2 linked regions of the Coturnix japonica genome follow. The protein of the gene in region 1 interacts with the protein of each later gene in a biochemical or structural test. Links are inferred from orthologs where the notes say so. Each region holds a gene or a part of one and is shown on either strand. Other genes may lie near its edges.

Evidence for each region. The genes of interacting proteins can lie anywhere in the genome.
Region 2: the proteins of NFE2L1 (region 1) and MAFG form a complex in vitro, tested with the Homo sapiens proteins (2 studies listed by BioGRID and IntAct, with this or other methods). The link is inferred for Coturnix japonica from reciprocal best matches to the Homo sapiens genes NFE2L1 and MAFG.

What each region holds. Positions count from the first base shown.
Region 1 is NC_029542.1:3,428,741-3,434,517, reverse strand, and holds the start of NFE2L1 (endoplasmic reticulum membrane sensor NFE2L1), read left to right. Parts: upstream 1-2,308; 5' UTR 2,309-2,729; intron 2,730-4,367; 5' UTR 4,368-4,369; coding exon 4,370-4,879; intron 4,880-5,777.
Region 2 is NC_029533.1:4,419,020-4,424,708, forward strand, and holds the start of MAFG (transcription factor MafG), read left to right. Parts: upstream 1-1,975; 5' UTR 1,976-2,134; intron 2,135-2,343; exon of another isoform or gene 2,344-2,362; intron 2,363-3,736; exon of another isoform or gene 3,737-4,169; intron 4,170-4,194; exon of another isoform or gene 4,195-4,340; intron 4,341-4,365; exon of another isoform or gene 4,366-5,219; intron 5,220-5,365; 5' UTR 5,366-5,391; coding exon 5,392-5,427; intron 5,428-5,507; coding exon 5,508-5,689. Other genes in the region: PYCR1 (pyrroline-5-carboxylate reductase 1, mitochondrial), read left to right, coding at 43-206, 292-451. UniProt on the Homo sapiens protein: Since they lack a putative transactivation domain, the small Mafs behave as transcriptional repressors when they dimerize among themselves.

The DNA of each region.
Region 1 (5,777 bases):
GGGGGCTTTAATTCCCAATTCACCATCTGCTGAGCCCCCCCCCCAATTTGTGGCTCAGCTGTTGAAGGAGAGAATTAAAGCTCCCTTAGAACAATGTCCCCATCAGGGACGGATGTGACGCCACCATCGCTTTGTCCCCATGTCCCCCCACCCTAAAAGGGGGGAGGTGTTGTTCGGAGGCCCCCCACCCCAAAAGGAGGGGGGGGTTGTTCATAGACCCCCTGCAATACGCCGTGCTGCCGGCAGGGGGCGCTGCAGGACCGCGGATGGAGCCGGGGCTAAATGAGAAGGGGGCGTGGCCATTTACCATATAAGGAATGTATATAATGAGGGGGAGGAGATATGCAAAAATATGCAAAATTATGCAAAACAGCCCAATTCCTGGAGCGGCTATAGGGAGTCAGCGGTGAACCCCTATAGCCCCTATAGCTGTGGGCACCCATGGTTGGGGGGGTCTAGGGTTCACAGAGCTCTAAGAGCCCACCCCAATGGGCTCAGCCTCTTTTGGGGCCCTTTAGGGGTCCTATGATGTCCCAGCTGCCTTGTGATATGCTGATATGGGGGTCACGACCCTCTTATGCCTATATAGGGTGATACAATGCTCTATATAGGGTGATACAATGCTCATGGGATGGTGACCTGTGAGCCCCAGCTGGAGGCACCTGGAGATGAACCTGAGCTGGTGCAGAGGCTTTAATTGGCACCGAGGCTTTAATTGATATAGGAGCTTTAATTAGGACGGAGCAGAGGGGGTTTGGGGGAGGCCCAGGGGCTCACAGTGAAGGACTGATGGATCCATTCGCCTCCATTAGTGCTTAAGGGCTCCCTGGATGTTATTAATGTTGGGTTGGAGCTGGTGAGGGGCTGCTGGGGGGGTGTGGGGGGGTATATCCCCATTGGGAGCCTTTGGCAGCTATAGGGTTTGCTGTAGGGCTGTGCCCTCCCTACCTGCCCCTATTACCTCATCACTTGTAGGTTGCAGCACAACGTGGGCTGGGGCCGCACCCCAATATCTGGAGGTGTTTGTTTGCAGGTTGTTTTGCAGATCAGTTTGGAGTTTGTGCCATTGAAGCTGCTGGGATCCAGCATTACCTGGGCTCCATCCTGTGCTTTATGCTCCCAGGTAGGGGGTGATCAGTAAATGGGGCTGGTCTTGGTGTGGGAGGGCTGGGCTGGTTGTCTATTGACCCCCAGCTCTGCTGGAGGGAACAGTGAGCTGTGAACAAGGGCCTTAGAAGGGCTTTAATACCAGCTCCATATTGACTTATTGATGGATATAGGCTGGATATAGACCCTCCCTATGGCAGTAAGGCTTTAATATCAGCTCCTTATTGACTTATTGATAGATATAGACTGTGGGACTTATTGATATAGACTGGATATAGACTGTGGGACCTTCCCTATGGCAGCAGGGCTTTAATACCAGCTCCCTGTTAACTATATAGGCTATATTACCTATATAGACTGGATACAGGCTATGGACCCTCCCTATGGCAGCAGGGTTTAATATCATCTCCCTATTGACTTATTGATGGATATAGGCTGGATATAGACCCTCCCTATGGCAGCAGGGCTTTAATACCAGCCTCCTATTGACTTAATGATATAGGCTGGATATAGACTGGGATTGATATAGACTGGATATAGACTGGGGACCCTCCCTATGGCAGCAGGGCTTTAATACCAGCTCCATATTGACTTATTGATGGATATAGACTGGGATTGATATAGCCTGGATATAGATATAGACTGAGGACCCTCCCTATGGCAGTAGGGCTTTGATACCAGCTCCCTATTGACTATATAGACTATATTACCTATATAGACTGGATATAGACTATGGACCCTCCCTATGGCAGCAGGGCTTTAACACCAGCTCCCTATTGATGGCTATAGACTGGCGAGGCGCTAGGCCCGGCTCCGGCCTTCCGCCGGGATTGGTGCGCGCTGTCAGTCAACATTCCGGACGGTTTTTATTGGTAGTTGGAGCTGTCGTTCGGCTAGAGTCTCGCTCTCTATTGGATGATTAGCCTGTCTTTCATCGACTCGGTGGGTGGGGGCGTTGTGCTGTTTCTCCTCACCTATTGGCTCTCCATGCTCATCTCTGCCTCCGATTGGCTCCCTCGCCTGCCCATCCACCCGGCGACATAGGCGGGATCACCTCCACCCCTCCCCCTCCCATTGGCTCACTGCTTCATCCCTCCTCCTAAAGTCGGCTGGCGATTGGCTGAGCCTCGGGGGGGGGGCGGGATTAGTTGTGAGGGAAAGGAGGCGGCGGCGGCGGAGAGCGGGTAGAGGCGGGCGGGGCGGACAGGGCCGCGTCACTGGGCCTTAAGGATCCATAGGGCCTTAAAGGGCCATAAGGGGCCATAAAGGGCCTTAAAGGGCCTTAAAGGCCTTAAAGGGCCCCGGGGTGGGGTGGAGGGAGAGGCCTTAAGGCCCGGTGTGGCCTAAACCGGGGGGAGCCCCCACGGTGAGGCCTGAGGGCGGCGGGGAGTTGACGCAACGGCCTAAGAATAACGAGGGGTGGGACCGGGCCGGGCCCACAACGGGCGGGGCCTGAACATGGGGCCTTAAGGGAACAACACGGGGTGGTTTGAGCTGCGGTAAAAGGAACCGAGTCACAGCGGGACAAATTGGGATCGGAACCGGTTCGGTTGGACGAGGAACCGGGATCGGAACCGGGAGAGACCGAGAGGGACCGGAGCTGCATGTGGGAACAGCGGGCAGTAAGTGGGGGGGGCTTGTGTGTGTCTATGGGGGTATTGGATTGGGGTCATCCCATGTGTCTATGGGATATTGGATTGGGGTCAGAGCTGGGATCGTCCCATGTGTTATATGGGAATATTGTATTGGGGTCGGAGCTGGGATCGTCCCATGTGTCTATGGGGATATTGGGATCAGAGCTGGAATCATCCCATGTGTTATATGGGATTATTGTATTGGGATCTGGAGGGTTTGGAGCTGGAAAGGGAAGCTGAGATCATCCCGTGTGTCTATGGGGACATTGTATTGGGATCAGAGCTGGGATCGTCCCATGTGTTATATGGGATTATTGTATTGGGGTTGGAGCTGGGATCATCCCATGTGTCTATAGGGATATTGTATTGGGATCTGGAGGGTTCGGAGCTGGAAAGGGAAGCTGGGATTGTCCAATGTGTCTATGGGATTATTGTATTGGGATCATCCCATGTGTCTATGGGGATATTGGGATCAAAGCTGGGATCGTCCCATGTGTTATATGGGAATATTGTATTGGGATTGAAGCTGGGATCGTCCCATGTGTCTATAGGGGATTATTGTACTGGGGTCGGAGCTGGGATCATCCTGTGTGTCTATAGGGATATTGTATTGGGATCATCCCATGTGTTATATGGGATATTGTATTGGGATCATCCCATGTGTCTATAGGGATATTGTATTGGGATCTGGAGGGTTCAGAGCTGGAAAGGGAAGCTGGGATCGTCCCATGTATCTATGGGATTATTGTATTGGGATCAAAGCTGGGATTGTCCCATGTGTTATATGGGATATTGTATTGGGATCATCCCATGTGTTATATGGGATAATGTATTGGGATCTGGAGGGTTCGGAGCTGGAAAGGGAAGCTGGGATTGTCCCATGTATCTATGGGGATATTGGGATCAGAGCTGGAATCATCCCATGTGTTATATGGGATTATTGTATTGGGGTTGGAGCTGGGATCGTCCCATGTGTCTATGGGATTATTGTATTGGGATCAGAGCTGGGATCATCCTGTGTGTCTATGGGAATATTGTATTGGGGTCAGAGCTGGGATCATCCCATGTGTCTATAGGGATATTGGATTGGGATCTGGAGGGTTCAGAGCTGGAAAGGGAAGCTGGGATCATCCCATGTGTTATATGGGAATATTGTATTGGGATCAGAGCTGGAATCATCCTGTGTGTCTATGGGGATATTGTATTGGGATCATCCCATGTATCTATGGGATTATTGTATTGGGATCGGAGCTGGGATCGTCCTATGTGTCTATGGGATTATTGTATTGGGATCATCCCATGTGTCTATAGGGATATTGTATTGGGATCTGGAGGGTTCGGAGCTGGAAAGGGAAGCTGGGATCGTCCCATGTATCTATGGGATTATTGTATTGGGATCAGAGCTGGGATCGTCCCATAGTTTAAAGTGTTTTATTGCTGTGGACTCTTGAAACTGTTGCTGTTTTGCTTGTGTTAAAGTCGGGCAGGGGGGAGGAAGCAGCCAGGCGAGGTATTGGGAGCAGAATCCACCTGCTGCCTTTATATTCTCCTTTATTCCTCCTTTATTCCTTTATTCCTCCTTTATTCCTCACCTCCCACTTGTTTCCTCTCTCTTTCCCCCTCCAGAAATGCTTTCTCTGAAGAAATACTTCACCGAAGGCCTCATCCAACTCACCATCCTGCTCAGCCTCGTCGGTGTCCGTGTGGACGTGGACACTTACCTCAACTCCCAGCTCCCCCAGCTCCGTGAAATCATCCTCGGTCAAAGCTCTGCCTACACACAAACCCAATTTCACAACCTAAGAAACACTTTAGACGGGTACGGCATCCACCCAAAGAGCGTCGATTTGGACTATTACTTCACAACTCGAAGGCTGCTCAACCAGGTCAGGGCTCTGGACAGGTTTCAAGTACCTACAACTGAAGTCAACGCTTGGTTGGTTCATCGGGATCCTGAAGGTTCAGTATCAGGCTCCCAACCCAACGCTGGGATCACGCTCGATAACGGTGCTGGGCTGCAGGATGGAGCCGGGTCTGATGGTGCCGTGAGGGACAACGGGGCTGAGCAGGGATATGGGGAGGAGCTGGAGGATCTGGGAGCTGTGGCTGCCCCGGTGAATGGGGACCTGACTAAAGAGGTAAGTGGCTCCTTGTGTCTTGTGTTGGATTCTATGCTATCTATCAAATGGAGTGGTGTTTAATGTGAGCTGTGTGATATGGGCATGGCATGGGGTCGAAGCTTCTGAGCTCTTCATGGTGCTGCTCTGCTTTTATTGCTGCTCTGCTATGGACCCCATAGATCCAATACCCCATAGATCCAATACCCCATAGATCCAATACCTCATAGATCCAATACCCCATAGATCCAATATCCCATAGATCCAATACCCCCATAGATCCAATACCCCATAGATCCAATACCCCATAGATCCAATACCCCATAGATCCAATACCCCATAGACCCAATACCCCCATAGACCCAATACCCCCATAGACCCCAATACCCCCATAGACCCAATACCCCCATAGACCCAATACCCCCATAGACCCAATACCCCCATAGATCCAATACCCCCATAGATCCAATACCCCATTTATTTGCTGTTTTCAGCCTAGAAAGTGATACTGAAAGCTGGGCCATGGGCTGGGGGTGGGCGTTACACACTGTGCCCATAACTTTGTGTTGTGAAATAGATCAAATAACGCTGGGATATAAACACATGCGTTGGGTAACAGCTTCATCCCATGTAGCAGGAGGGAGGTTGGGTTACTGGGCTTTGGAGCTGATCCAGCTTGAGACGTTTCTAGCTTGGTTTTCATCACACAGGGGCAGGGAGGAGGTGAAATAGAATGGGGTTTATGTATCTGTCTGTGTGTGTGGAACCTTTTAGATGCTGTGATGCCATCCAGCTCCTTGCCCTGCTGGGAGCTCCTCATTTTGGCTCTGCTTTGTGTTCAGCCTCAATATCTCCCCAGCCATGTGTGGGTTGGTTCTGTTGTGAGCAGTGGGGCTTGGATTCAGCTCATTGCTCCCAT
Region 2 (5,689 bases), on another chromosome or scaffold:
ACATACAGAGTTCTGATTGTTGTTTTCTATTCCTCGCCACAGGGCGCTGCCAAAATGCTGTTGGAATCAGAGCAGCACCCAGGTCAGCTGAAGGACAACGTCTGCTCCCCTGGGGGAGCCACCATTCATGCCCTGCACTTCCTGGAGAGCGGAGGCTTTCGCTCCCTGCTCATCAATGCTGTGGAGGCTTCCTGTATCCGAACAAGGTGGGCACTGAGAAATCCTTAAGAGCCATCAACACTCCTCTCTTTCTATTCCTTACCATCTCTCTCTTCTACCACCCCATGGCAGGCAGCTGCAGCATTTGGCAGACAAGGAGAAGATCTCCCCAGCAGCCATAAAGAAGACTTTGTTGGATAAGGTGAAGCTGGAGTCTCCTTCTCTTTCTGTGGCATCTACCAACAAAGTCAGTCTGTTCAACAGTAAGAACCCCAGCAGCAAGAAGAACTGAGCAGGCTGCCGTCCTGCTGTACTCTGGCTGCACTGACCATCACTTCCCTTTATGCCCTTTCTTTTTTGACTAAGGAAAACATTCACGCTGAATGTTGGTGTTTTCCATACCCGACTCTCAGCTTACAGCAGCCGTGGGGCAGCGCAGAGCTGCTCACTGTGGGCATGGGGAGCACCATACTCAGAGCTTTGTCAAGGGCACTATTTGCCAGAAGCCTTTGATGCTTCAGAACTGAGGTAGCATTTATTGTGTCCCGTGTAGAAACAGTTGGTAGCAGAATCTTTAAGAACTTTCCAACTGCTTTTCAGTCTCAAAGGTTTGAGTCAGGTCTGGATCCCTCTTTCCCCATCTTCCATCTGCTTTCAGAGCTCATCTCTTGTTTTTTCTTAGCTAGAGCAGCTGCTGTCACACCAATGCAGTGCTGTGCGCTGAGGCTGGGTTCTAATATGCTTCTCACCAGGGACCAAAGTGCCTCTGCCTCATTTCCCATCCGCTTTGACTTTAAATAGAGGGTCAATGTGAACCCCTCAGCCACACTGATTCATTCAGGGTGCATTCTTGGCAGTCATCCCCACAACAGCAGCTTTCTATGGCTTCTTTATAGCCACCATCCCCATAGAGTTCCCTCTTCTTCCAGAGCCCTGTCCTGGACCAGGAAGCAGCACCCAATGTTCACACTGCCCCGGTAGCTGCTGCTGGGCTGCAGTGGGAGCTGTGGGCTGGGGAGGATGGAAGGGATTTGGGTGGATCTCAGTGTCGTCCTGTTCTACCTTGATGTACACTGAGGTTCCTCCTTAGGAACCCAGAGCGTCTATGTGTGTGGTGCAAGAAAAGCATTTGGGGATCAATGCAGAGAACTCCACAGGTGCTGGCAGTGTCAGTGCGGTGCTGTGTCAGTTGGTACTGGGACAAGGCCGTGTAGGTGTGACGTGGCTGCTGCTCTTTCTGCTCCTTGAATAAACCATTCCTCTATCGGACCCGTGGCGGCTCCTGGTTGTGTTGGGTGGACGCAGCTCCGTGTCCCCGCCGTCCCACAGCCCGGCACTGAGCGCTCACCCGGCCCAGCTCCATTGTCCCCTCAGTCCTGCAGTGGTTGGAGCTGCGGACGCCCCAGAGCCGTGTCTGTACAAATGAGAACTGACGGGGCCGAAGTGGGGCGGTAACAAAGGCCCGACGGCAGCGGAGCTCCCATTGCTGCCCATTACTATCCATTGCTATCCAATGCTGCCCATTACTATCCATTGCTGCCCATTACTATCCATTGCTGCCCATTGCTATCTATTACTGCCCATTGCTATCCATTGCTGCCCATTGCTATCTATTACTGCCCATTGCTATCCATTGCTGCCCATTGCTATCCATCGCGCTTTGCTCGGTGCTGCCGCCCTGCTGGGCTCACACCGCGGCCGTTCCCATCCCCGCGGTCCCTTTAAGTCCCGGTCCCGTTCCATTCCTGGTCCCGCCCCGTTTCCCGCCCTCCCGGCGCGTCCCCTTTAAGGCGCGGGGCGGTTGCGCCGGGCGCTTCATGAATGGAGCCACGTGACCCAAACATCACGTGACGCGTCCGTGAGCGGCGGCGGCTCGCGGTCCCGGTCCCGGTTCGTGCAGCGCGGCCTGCCCGCCCCGCCCCGCCCCGCCCGGTCCAACGGCTCCGTCAGGACGTGACCGCAGCGAGCGCGGCCGGTGAGGGGCGGGCGGCGGCGGCGGCACCGAAGGGAGGAGGCGCGGCGCGGGCGGCGGGCGCGGCCCTGGCACCGGGCGGGGCGAGGCGGGGCGGCGAGGCGCGGCGGCCGGTCCCCGGGGGCGGGGCGGGAGCGGCCGGCGCTGACTCACGGCGGGGGCTCCGTGGCCGCCGGTCACCGCCCGGTTGGCGGCGCGCACGGCCCGGTCCCCGCCGCGGCCGAGCAACAGGTGCGCGGGGCCCCGCCGCTCCGCCCGCCCCGCCCCGCACCGGGTCCGCCCGGCGCTCAGCCCCCGCTCGGTCACACGGTGTCCCGGTGCCCGGTGGAGCTGGCCAGGCCGGAGGCGCAGCGCGGCGCTTCCCGACGGTTCACCCGCCGCGGGGCTCGGGCCGCTCCGCTCCTCCCGGCATCGCCGTGGGGTCACCGGGATCCCGCGGGACGGGCGGCGGCGGAGCCGCTTTAACGGGGGAAAGTGCGGGGTGTGTGAGCGGCGGGACGGGCCGCGTGGGGTCAGGGGAACAAAATAACAACACGGATAAACGGGAACGGGATCCCGCACCGGGGGGGGAGGGGAAGGAGAGCTCCGCGCCACGGCGACGTCACCGTGTTTACAGTGCGCGCGTGGCGAGGCGCCGCGATGGGGAACGGGAGGGAACCGGGAGAGAACGGGGAGAGAACGGGGAAACGGCTCCGCGCCGGGGGGGAATTGGCTGCGGCCGTGCTGAGCTCAGGGCTTTTGAGCGCCGGGCAATGTGTTGAGGCGGCATTTTGTTGCTGCAGTCAAAGCGTTGGGCACTTTGCAGTGCGATCTGCGGGAGCCTCTAAAAAGCCGAGCAATGAACGGGCTGCACAGCCGGGATGAGGCTGGTTCGGTGTGTGCCCCCGGCTCAGCTGCTGCCCCCCTCACACATAACAGCCCCGTGCTGTCCGTGCTCTGCTGTGTCTCTGGAAGGGGATGGAGGGTCCAAACTGGTGCTGCGTTCAGGCACAGCCCCGTCCCAGAGCCGCCCCCAGCACACAACATGCACTGTCCAGTTCCTCGGATACAGACACTGCAGCCTCGTGTCCCACAGCAGCGATGCTGTGGCTCAGGATGGGGAGCACTCCCTGACCCCCATCACAGCTCTGTGTCCCTGCACTCATCCCAGCCGTGTCCCCCCATCAAGCTCCTCTCATTTCTGTTCTCTCTCAGCACAGCAGCCCTGGTTGACCCGTCCTTTAGTGCCTCTATCTGTGCGTTTATCAATTTCTCTCAGCAGAAATGACAGTATGAGGTGCAAGGTGAGCACAGGCTCTGAGCTCAGGGCTGTGTGAGTTTCCTGCCCTGCACCCTGAGCTGCTCTACCTGTGCCCAGCCCCATCCAGTGTTTGTTTTTCCCAGCTCTGCTACAATGAAGGAAGTTTGAGTGTTTCCCGGTAGCAGGGAACCATTCAGCCCTGCAGGCACACATTACTGCAGCCATACTGACCCCAGCGTGCGGTCAGAGGGTTCCTCAGGGCCGGTGTTATGCCTCCCCCCAGTTATTCTCTTCCATCTGCCCCTTTTTCCAGCAGCCATTTTGTTTGTTAGGGTGGGGGGGGGGGGGAGGAAACAGAGCAAAGAAAGAGAAATAACAGCACGGGAAAGCACAGAACTGGTTGCAGGAGGCTGCAGTCTGCATGTGCTCCCCTCAATGCAGCCGCCTCCCTCGGTGGCAAAGTGACCCTTACGGCCACGCTGTCGGGTTGTCACGGCCGTCATGCTGCAAGGAACATTGTCCTCTGGGTATAAATAGCTGCCTCCTGGCAGGCTCCGGCCTTGGGGGAACATCTGAATTGTGCTGGTGTGCTCCGTGTCCTGCAGGACGCTGATCCCGCTCACCTCTAGCAGTCAGCGCCGGGCGCATTGCGGGAGCCTGAGCTGCAGCTGCTGGAGGAGCAGAAAGCCGTATTTGCTGACTGTACAGCTGGGTCTTGGCTGCAGCTCTGCCTCTTACGTCTAGCAAACAAAAGAGCAGCGAACGGAATTGCTGTTGGCTGGCACGGAAGGTACAAAGGTACTCATGGACTGCACCTGCACACAGACAGTGCTGGCCTTGCTGCAGGAAGCAGTGCCGGGCTGTGTGGGACAGACGTGGCTGCTGAGGATTCAGTTTGTTGGGGTGCAGTGGAATTCTGACCCGAGGTGTGAGGGGAGGAGGTGCATAGGGACAGGAGCAGGAGCCCAGGTATGTCTCTGTATGAAGACAGCCCCAGGAGCTGCTGTTATAGACCTGGAATGCTGTCCTCCCTGGCAGTGAAGGAGTCTGCTCCCCTCTGGTTTTGGCCTCCCTCGATCTTTGTTTTCTTATCTCTCAGCTCTGAAGATAAAGAGGGGAGAAGCTGGTGCAGCCCTGGCTTTGCTGGGGCTGATAGGGACTGCTCAGTGGGAAGGGTGTACGGCTGTAGGTCGGCTTTGGGTGACAAGAGCAGGGAGGGCTGCTGAGGAATCCCCAGATCAACTATGGGCTTCCCGTGTGCCCCAGCATCAAGCCATGGGTTTGGGCTGCCCATCCTCCCCACGGGAAGGGTCAGGTGCAGAACTCAGACTGTAACCCAGCCGTGCTGGCTTTGCTGGGGAGCACCAGCATTTTGGATAGGAGCAGTGGTGTTCAGCACCAAGCAGCTGCACCGTGATGGTGAGGCCATCCCCTCCACTCACCAGCAGTGTTGTGCTCCTGGACTGTGCCAGGCTGTGTCCTCAGGAGCATCGTGGGTCTGGCAGGACTCGCTGTGGGCAGCTCTGTGCTGGGCAGCGGGTGCACAGCGTGGGGCTGTGCTGCTGTGCAATGCTCAGGGGCTGTGAGGATGCAGCTGGGAGCAGAGGCGCGGGCTGCTGCCGTGCTGAGTCAGCGTGACTGGCCCTGAGCAGGCGTGCTCCGGACCTGGCTGCTGCTGCCAGGCTATTTTTAATAATGTGGCTTCCGTGTATTCTGGCTCCTCCTAGTTTTTTAATTTTCTCCCCCCCACACCCCAAACAAAAAAGCAGCATTGCTACAAGGCTCCGTGGTCATAGGGCTGGGGGAGGGCAGCAGGTTGTGCTCAGGGATAGAATCTGTTGCTGTACTGTGAGTCCGATGCAGTCAGGCTGAGTGCTGCCTGGGGAGGGCAGTGGGAGTGCCCCAGTGCGGGGTGTTGCTGCGGGGCTCCGTGCGGCTGCTCTGGCCCTGCTGAGAACCAACCCAGGGACTAACCTGACCTCCTTCCCTTCCAGAGCCTGACTGACGTGGCTGCCGTGTTATGACGACCCCCAACAAAGGAAACAAGGCCTTGAAGGTAAAGCAGCAGGTGGAGGATGGGGGTGTGGGCGGCTGCTCGAGGCTTCAGACCGCACACACTGCCTTCTCTTCTCACAGGTGAAGCGGGAGCCAGGCGAGAATGGGACCAGCCTGACAGACGAGGAGCTGGTGACCATGTCCGTGCGGGAGCTGAACCAGCATCTGCGGGGCCTGTCCAAGGAGGAGATCATCCAGCTGAAGCAGCGTCGGCGCACGCTGAAGAACCGAGGCTACGCAGCCAGCTGCAGGGTCAAACGCGT